2 linked regions of the Macaca fascicularis genome follow. The protein of the gene in region 2 interacts with the protein of the main gene of each other region in a biochemical or structural test. Links are inferred from orthologs where the notes say so. Each region holds a gene or a part of one and is shown on either strand. Other genes may lie near its edges. The genes, in order: ATG4B and GABARAP.

Region 1 (4,555 bases), on a different chromosome or scaffold from region 2:
TTATCAGCATAAACAGAGACCTTTAAATGCAAGCGACTTTCCTACTCTGATTCCGCATGCAGCAGCATCCCGTGTCCTATTAAAGTATCATCGTGTCAATATGGTAGTCAAGAGAAAATAAAAGACAAAAATAAACTATCATCATGTAACAACATAACTGTTCTCCTAACTTGAACATGATGATTTTCATATTTTAGGTCATGTGATCGACCCTGAACTCTGTTTTTGACCTTAACCAAGTCTCTCATATGATACTCCAGTGTCAAGGTATCGAAATGATAGAGGCAGGGGGGAGACAAATCCTAGGCAGAGAGGGGCGAGTCACCAGTGAAACCCAACCTTCAAGCCACAGTTTAAAGCCTGAAAGCCAAGCAACAAGTCTCCGATAAATCCACAGACTGGACTGCAAACCTCTCTTCCTGTTTGGTGCGCTTTCCTCTAATTAATCCCCACCCTTCACCTATTTTACATATACTTACCCTTCTCTAATTGGTTTATTACACTGTTGTGCCCATCTTTGAGTGGTGACTTTGTTTTAGCCTTTTTTGCATACTCACAAGCAAATCAGCACACACTCCCCATTCTGAGCCCATAAAAGCCCTGGACCCAGCCACACCAAGGGAGACCACCTGACTTTGGGTGGAAGACCACCCTTGAGTCCCCTTTCTGCTGAGAGCTGTTTCATCACTCAATAAAACTATTCTCCACCCTCCTCACTCTTCGATTGTCGGTATAATCTCATTCTTCTTGGACGTGGGACAAGAACTAAGGACCCAATGAATGCAGGTACAAAGAAAGCTGTAACACTATGGCCCTCGGCCCTCTGCTGGGAAAGGGCAGTCGCCCCACGTGACAGCCCACAGCAACGGGAAGCAGCTGGGGGGATGGAGGTAGCCCCAGAGCTATAGCCTGGAGCAGGGCAATGGGAGTGACAGGGCTGTTGACACTTTGCAACACCCTCTCTTAGGCTTCAGGGTTGCAAGCATCCCTGCTTGGGCGCCACTACCTTCCCCTTGTCTGGACACCAGAATCCACTGCCCCCTTGTCTGGATGCTGGAGTCCACTGTGGGAGTTGCTTGCCACACGTCTAGCTGTAAGCTCTGCAGATCCCACTCTGGTGTCTGCACTTGAAACAGCTGGCGGGACCCGGCACTCACTCACCCACACACCCACTCCCGCCAGGGGCTGAGCATGAAGTCATGGCGGCCATGGTATCCGTGCCAGAGTGCAAACCAGGTGCCACCCGGTGGGCCAAGTAGACAGGGCATCTCCTGCGGCGAGCCCGGACCCAGGCAAGGCCTGGGCAGGGGCCTCGCCAGCTGGAGGTCTCTGGCTGGCAAAGTGGCTGAGAAAAATCCTGCATCACAAACAATAATACCTAATAAGATATAATACAACAGTTGTAAAATAGTAAACAACAAATAGCACACAGCTGCGAATAGTACAACCGTGTCTGACAGTTATTCTAAAACACAAACTTCACAAGATACACATGCTCCTTAGGGAGTCAGGGCTCCTGTTTCCTCCAACCACCTACCACATTTAAGCGGGGAGCAGCTTCAAATGATTTATTTTTTTTTTATTTTTTATTTTTTTTGAGACGGAGTCTCGCTCTGTCGCCCAGGCTGGAGTGCAGTGGCGCGATCTCGGCTCACTGCAAGCTCCGCCTCCCGGGTTCCCGCCATTCTCCTGCCTCAGCCTCCTGAGTAGCTGGGACTACAGGCGCCCGCCACCACGCCCGGCTAATTTTTTTTTTTTGTTTTTTTAGTAGAGACGGGGTTTCACTGTGGTCTCGATCTCCTGACCTTGTGATCCGCCCGCCTCGGCCTCCCAAAGTGCTGGGATTACAGGCTTGAGCCACCGCGCCCGGCCAGCTTCAAATGATTTAAACAGATATTGGCAATACACATTACAGTTTTCCTACTCAGATCTTAATAAATTCGTGTTGTAGCTGCCAGAAAAATAATAAGTAAAGATTGACATTCAGAATGACAGAATTAAACCAGATGAAAATCTTTCTTTACAGAAAGGGGATACTTGATAAAAAGCAAATCAGTTCCCAAAAGAATGAATGGGCTAAAACTTCTGTGTAAAAATGTATCAAGGGCTACTGGGCAAGCGATGGGTTTGGTACCGACTTAAAACTATCTTGCCAGCAAAAATGGAGCGGAAGCATGAAAGAATAGGCAAAAACACCAACACTACACACACACACACACACACACACACACACACACACACACACACACACACACACACAATCTCTCTCTCATGAACCCAAGAAACTAAGACCCGATGACACAAATTCACTGTTTCTCTTTCTCGTCGCGGAAAAGCAGCTTGGAGGACCTACTGGTTACTAAATTGAAAACAAACACAAAAAATATGCGTATATTGTGATGGACATGTCATGTTTCTCGCCTCCAACCTACCAATAACTTCATAAAAGTTAAAGAATTTCCATCCCTTCACGCTCAGCTGCGGGAAGGCCACGCTTTCGCCCGCCGCTGGCGTTCCCGGTCCCGACCGCGGCCGCCCCGTCCGCCGCCGCGCCACTCCCCGCCCGGCAGGCTCCGCCGCTCTCCACGGCCGACCTGGCGCAAGGGCCCGTGCAGCCACAACCTCCAGAGCGCTCCCGGCGGGACCAGAAAAGCAGCAGAAGCTCCAGGGCAACCGACAGCCGGTTCCGCGGCGCAGAGCGCCGCCGTCCCCCTCTCGCGCCCACCGCCCACCACCCACCAACACCGCCCCGCGCTCCCGCAGCGCCCGCCGCCCCGGCCCAGCCTGGCCCGCACCGGTGTGCCCAGGAGCGAGTCGCGGCAGCCCGGCCCCGAGCAGCGGAGGCCGATGATAAGGCGAGCACCTCCTGCGGAAAGGCAGGCCGCCGGCAACCCCTCACCTGCGTCCATCTTCCCAGTCCGGCCGCCGACTGACCCAAGCGGCGTCGCTCCGACGGGCCCGCAGCGCGACGCGGCGACGGGACGCCGCGGGGGCCAATCGGGGCGCGCGGCAGGCGGCAAAGAGGATACGGCGCGCAAGCGGAAATACGCGGGAGCCGCCATTTTGGCGTACGGCCGGGCCAACGCGAGCCCGGAGCGCCCTGCGAGCGGCGTGGAGTCGTGTCGCGGGACGAGGGCTCGCTCTGCTGTCCGACGGGACACTGCGTGCCATGGGTGGCGCTTCCTCCTCTTAGAGGACCCGGGAGCAGTTGTCCAGGCGGCAGGGGCGGGCTCTGTCCCTGTCCGAGCAGCCATCTTGCGGTACGGACGTGCCCGGCGCGCCCATGTCGCCGTACGGACTGGCCCCGCCGGGGCGACTCCACCGCCCGCCTGCCCGCCTGCCGGCGGACGCTGCGAGGGGCCGGCTGCGCCCCGCTGGTCCCGAAGACGCCCGAACCCGCGCCTGGCCAGGACGCGGGCGGGGGCGAGGGCGGGGGCGGGGGCGGGGGCGGGCCCGCGGCGGGCGTCTGCGCCTCCATCTTGCCGTACGGCGCGGACGCCGCGGGCCGGCCCACGTCCCGAGCCGTGTCGCCGCCGCGCTCCCTCCCTCGGGGCGGTCCGCGGGCGGGCGGGCGGCGAGGGCCGGGGCCTGGCGGCGCGGCTGGGCCAAGGCCCGCAATGGTGATCTGCTGTGCGGCCGTGAACTGCTCCAATCGGCAGGGCAAGGGCGAGAAGCGCGCCGTCTCCTTCCACAGGTACGCGGGCCCCGGGCCGCCACGCCCCCGCCCCGGCCCGGCCCTGCGGGGAAACTGAGGCCCCGCGGCCGGCCCGAACGCAGGGGGCGGGGGCGCCGGGCCTCGGCTGCCGGGGCGCGGGGGAGCGGGCGTGGGCGCTGTGTGACCTTGGCCCGGCCGCCGTCTCTGGGCCGGGCGCCTCGGGCAGAGCGGCCGCCCCCACCCCGGCCGCCCGGGTCCGCCCTGCGCGCGATCGATCCGGCCGGCGCCGCGGCTTCAGAAGCCGCACGTTCTGGAAGCGCAGGTCCCGGGCCGATTGTCCTGCTCGGCCGCGACTGCTGCCTCTCCGGACCGCGGGCGGTCGGCCTGGATGTCTGCGAGCAGGAGCGGCCGGGCAGATGCGACCTGCGCCTCCCTTGCTGACAGCCCCCGAGAGGGCTTTCCGGGACGGGGCCCCCGATCCCGGGACGCGGGTCTGCGCTGAGAGCCTGCGGGACGGCCGGCTGGGGACCGCATCCTCCCGCGCTCCCTTAGAGCCTGGCCCGGGGCTCTCGGCCGCTTCCCACGTGGGCCCCCGCGGCAGGGCCCAAACCCCCCTAAGGCCTTGTGGGTTCAGCCTATTTCAGTGAGATTTCTGCGGATTACACGCGGGAGGCACCAGAACCGCGAACAGACTTTGAAAACCACTTTGTAGATGTTTCTGTTTTTTGTTGCAGGGTGTTATTTAAGTTTTAAAGACGGCAGTGGCACGTGTTATTTATAGTGTTATTGAAAGTTCACAGTAGTTTGCTGTCAGTCTTAAATCATTACAATGTATTATAAGAATTAGTAACTTTAGATTATTTCACAAGTCAGCCAGATGACAATTTCCTTCAGAGCTTG
Region 2 (4,165 bases):
CCGCATGAGCCTCCGGAACTTTGATTCCCAGAAAGCCACAGGCTGGCGCAGGCGCCCCAAGCCGCTCCCCTCCCCCGGGGAGTGGCGGGGAGACCGGGAGCCAGAGGAGAGAGCGGAAGTGCGCGCGCAGGCCCCTGGGAGATGTAGGCTGGGCGGGACCAAGAAAGAAGAGGAAGAAGGGATTAGAACTCTCGGCCACCATACTGTCTCGTTCTGCAGCTTCTTTCTCCCCCGAGGGACCGCCCCACTTCCGGCCTGCCGGAGAAATGATTGCTGGGAGATGAAGTATTCCTGGCGATAATGGCTCCCCCTCCCAGTCTTCTCCCTCCCTGATTCCACTCTGCTGAATCCCACACACCGGCAAAAGTCTAGCCAAGTGACATGCAACTGAGAACAGCCGTTTTACTAGCTTACACACATGAAAATATCTTCCTTAATTAGAATGTTCTAGCAAATGTGGATGTTCACCTAAAGCAGGTACTTTGGAACTTTCTCCACAGGAACCCACAGTAAAAAAAAAACAAAAGTTTTACGTGAGCATTTTTAACATTCAGTTTCACATACATGTCATAAAACTAAAGTTTCATTAAATGATCCTCAGTATTCCATTCCATCACAAAAAAGCACCCTCTTTTTGCAGACAGGGAAAAGCCCAACATGGACAGAATAAACCAAAATATACTTCTATTCCTCCAGCTTGTACCCAATACTCCTTTCCCCACCACTGAAACCCACTGACACCTTGGAAAGACTAAAAATCAGCGGGACGAGGGGAGCAACACAAGGCAAAATTCAGTTCAGCTTGGTGGTTTCCTCTTTATTGATGTGCCTCCTACCTTTCCCCCCACAATTTCAGTCCCTTCCAACTACCCCCAAAAAAGAAGGTAGTGAAAGGAAGGGATTGCTGGGGTTCTGAGCCCCTTGGGCAGTCAGAAAGGGAACAGAAACCAAAACAATCACTGGATGTGAAGAGACTGACAATCAAGAAGTCTAAAGCAGGATGGGAAAGGCGGGCAGAGAAAGGGGAAGAAAGGAGAAAGGAGAGGTACAAGATGCCAACTCCACCATTACCCCTCCGAAAAGAGGCTGGAGAGAAAACTTCAAACATTAAGAAGTGCCCGTCCTGAATAAGGGAGGTGGTGTTTGAGCTTGAAGGAGGAGGAGGTCAAGAAAAGGGGGCCACCTCTCTCTTTGTAGAATGAGACCCCCCTCCAGCTCAGGGACAGCAGCTTCACAGACCGTAGACACTCTCGTCACTGTAGGCAATGTAGAGAAAGAAGTCTTCTTCATGGTGTTCCTGGGATGAAGGCAGAAAACTGTTCAGCAACTGGGCTCCAGTTCCTTAAACCAACCACGACCCAGACACTTTCTTCTAGAACCAGAAACCAGTGCCCGACTCCTTCACTGACTCCAAGGCCTAGCACACGAGCAATATAATCTCTGCAGTCCTGGGCAAAAAAGGCCTCAAACTGTTTTCTGCTGCTTTGGAATGGGGAGGAAGACTGGGAAGAGTCCCGAACAGTTTCTCTAGTTCACTGTTCTCTTTCCTTCTCTCTACTCCTACTGTTCTGTCCCAACCCCCAAACCACGGCTATTATGAAATGTTAAGGCAAGCGAGGAAGCTAGTCCAAAATACTGATGTAACAACACTTTCTTCCCCTCACGCTCTTCCAAGATTCCTCTCCAAAGCCTCCACCACTTCCCGGTCACCATACCTGGTAGAGCTGACCCATTGTGGCACTGGTGGGTGGAATGACATTGTTGACAAAGAAAAACAAGGCATCCTCAGCTCGGAGATGAATTCGCTTCCGGATCAAGAAGTAGAACTGACCAACTGCAAAAGATACAAGGTGCAAGAAAGTCACAGAGGTCAAAAATGCCCTCAAAAGAACAGCTGCTAGGTGGAGCCTTCTCCCACAGAGACTGCACTCCCACCCACGGGAAGCAAGCCTGAGCCTTGGGTCAGGTTCCCACCTGTGAGATCAGAAGGCACCAGGTATTTCTTTTTGTCCAGGTCTCCTATCCGAGCTTTGGGAGCCTTTTCTACTATCACCTGATAAAGAGACGAAAATTAGCAGACAGAAGGAATGCAGCGCCAAAGCTGCACCTGTCAGGAACTCAAGTAACAATATTCCTAGTACCTAAATCTACCCCAGACTCATCTCTTTGTCTTTGTACACGCGGTGCAGCACTGAGTCCCAGAGATCCTGACCTCACTGACTGGAGCTTATTTAAATATCCAGGATCCATCCACCGAATAGGGCGTCACCATAAACAACTATCTTAATCAGACGGAGATGACTTGTCTGGGTCCACTAGTGATTCAATCTCGCAACCTTAGCTAGTTGGGGGTATGGCCATTTGAGGCTCAGGCTGTCAAACTCTCTAAGGCCTCCACTCACACAAATGCTAAGGTTTCTCTCTCCTGTCCACATCCCTCTCAACCCCACGTCCACCACTACCCCACTCCTTTCATCCTCGGTCCCAAGGACAGCAGTTTCAGGCTCGCTCCCAACCCCAACACAGCCAGCAGCCTGATCCCTGCGCTGCCCGTCCCAGATCCAAGGCCAGGCTGTGGCGTCAGCGTAAGCGTCCCGCGCCCTCGGCCCTGGCTTCTGTCCTCACCGGCACCCGGTCCGGGTATTTCTTTCGGATTTTCTCGCCCTCAGAGCGGCGCTTCTCGAACGGATGCTCTTCTTTGTACACGAACTTCATCCTCCCGGGAACCGGGCTGGACCGGGCTGGGCTGAGGGAACCCGGGGGGGCCGGGACGGGGGGCGGCGGCGACGGCGGCGACGCGCGGGCGGATTCAGCGGAGCGATCCACGAATTTGCGCCACTTCCCTATTCACCAACCCCGCCCCCGACTATCGGGGACGGCCCCCCCACTAAGATACGCCACTACCTCAGCGGTGCTAACGCTGCTAGCGTAGCACCACCCACTGACCGGCCCCCTCACGCCATTAGCGTAATCGCTTTGGAATCAATTTGTGGGCTACGCAGGCGACGTAGCAAAGACGGTTGGCTTTTGGTCATGGAAAATAACTCTAAATCTGTTCCCCAACCTTCCCCTCAACGAAGCTGGGGCTGAAGAGGAGTAAGATATGGTAATCATCATACGAGACTTGCTTCTCCAAGTTCCTTTCGGAAACAACGTAGAGGAACAGCAGAGACAATTACAAGGTTAGCTATTCACGAACCGTATTGCTACGCTGAAGGCGGCCGTTGACACCAAAACAAAGTAGTACCCAAGTGGCGGAGATGATCTCCAGAAGTAAGAGGTCAAAAAGAAAACAGATGTTTGGAGAGATGTACAGAACGCTTAAGTGCCAAGAATGAGTAGACCAATAGGGACTGGAGAGGAGGTTGGAGGGGTAGGGACTACGCCAGCGCGGAGGAACACCGCACGGTTTGAGTGAAATCATGTGATCTCAAAGAGGGCGGAGCGTCACGTGGCGGGTGTGCGAAGTAGGGCCGGCTTGGGAGGGCGCCGGGGAGGCGGGGCCGGCTGGGCGACGGCGGCGAGTGGGGACCTACGCCTCCCCGGACTGCGGAGGTCGGGGCGCCAGCCGCCTGGGGCCAGCGCCCGCTTAACGTGTCCACGTCAGTACCCCGGACGAAGCCCGACGTTTCTCCAGCTCTACGCCCTTTGGCCGTCCAGGTTTCTCCTTACTTGCTTTCTAGCCTGCTGCTCCGAAGGTATCTTTCCACTCCCCACCAGCGCGCACATCCTCGGCCCTTCCCGCCAAAGCATCTGGTGGCCACATTCATTATTGTATCCCCATACTCAACACCACCTTTCCCCCTGCCCCTTGAGTCCAACAGCAGTCTCTTCCCTCTCTGCTCGGGGGACAGGGTGCATGTAAACAAAGTTCCCTCCCTTCACTTCCCAAAACCCCAGAGAAGGACCTAGGGCCGTTTTGGTTTCAAAGTTATAATGCATGGTTTAAAAGAGAAGAAAGGAAAAAAAGACACAAAGCTGGTTACAGGTCTGAGGGAGTCTAAGGAGAGAAAAATAGAAGGAGAGGAAAGGGGGGACAAATTTAGGGAAAATCCAGTGGCCCAAAATCCCAGTATCCCACCCACAGCCCAGCCCTTGGAGCAGGAGTGAAGAATTAGATCAGTTTTGTACAAGAGTTTTAAAAAAAAATCCAATCACAACAAAG

What was found.
Region 1: the proteins of GABARAP (region 2) and ATG4B form a complex in vitro, tested with the Homo sapiens proteins (3 studies listed by BioGRID and IntAct, with this or other methods). The link is inferred for Macaca fascicularis from reciprocal best matches to the Homo sapiens genes GABARAP and ATG4B.

Annotation. Positions count from the first base shown.
Region 1 is NC_088386.1:137,582,926-137,587,480, reverse strand, and holds the start of ATG4B (cysteine protease ATG4B), read right to left. Parts: upstream 2,932-4,555; 5' UTR 2,910-2,931; coding exon 2,900-2,909; exon of another isoform or gene 2,796-2,899; intron 2,716-2,795; exon of another isoform or gene 2,433-2,715; intron 1-2,432. Other genes in the region: peroxynitrite isomerase THAP4, read left to right, coding at 3,618-3,694. UniProt on the Homo sapiens protein: Cysteine protease that plays a key role in autophagy by mediating both proteolytic activation and delipidation of ATG8 family proteins. Required for canonical autophagy (macroautophagy), non-canonical autophagy as well as for mitophagy.
Region 2 is NC_088390.1:7,288,972-7,293,136, forward strand, and holds GABARAP (gamma-aminobutyric acid receptor-associated protein), read right to left. Parts: upstream 2,835-4,165; 5' UTR 2,716-2,834; coding exon 2,626-2,715; intron 2,054-2,625; coding exon 1,975-2,053; intron 1,835-1,974; coding exon 1,716-1,834; intron 1,298-1,715; coding exon 1,232-1,297; 3' UTR 797-1,231; downstream 1-796. UniProt on the Homo sapiens protein: Ubiquitin-like modifier that plays a role in intracellular transport of GABA(A) receptors and its interaction with the cytoskeleton.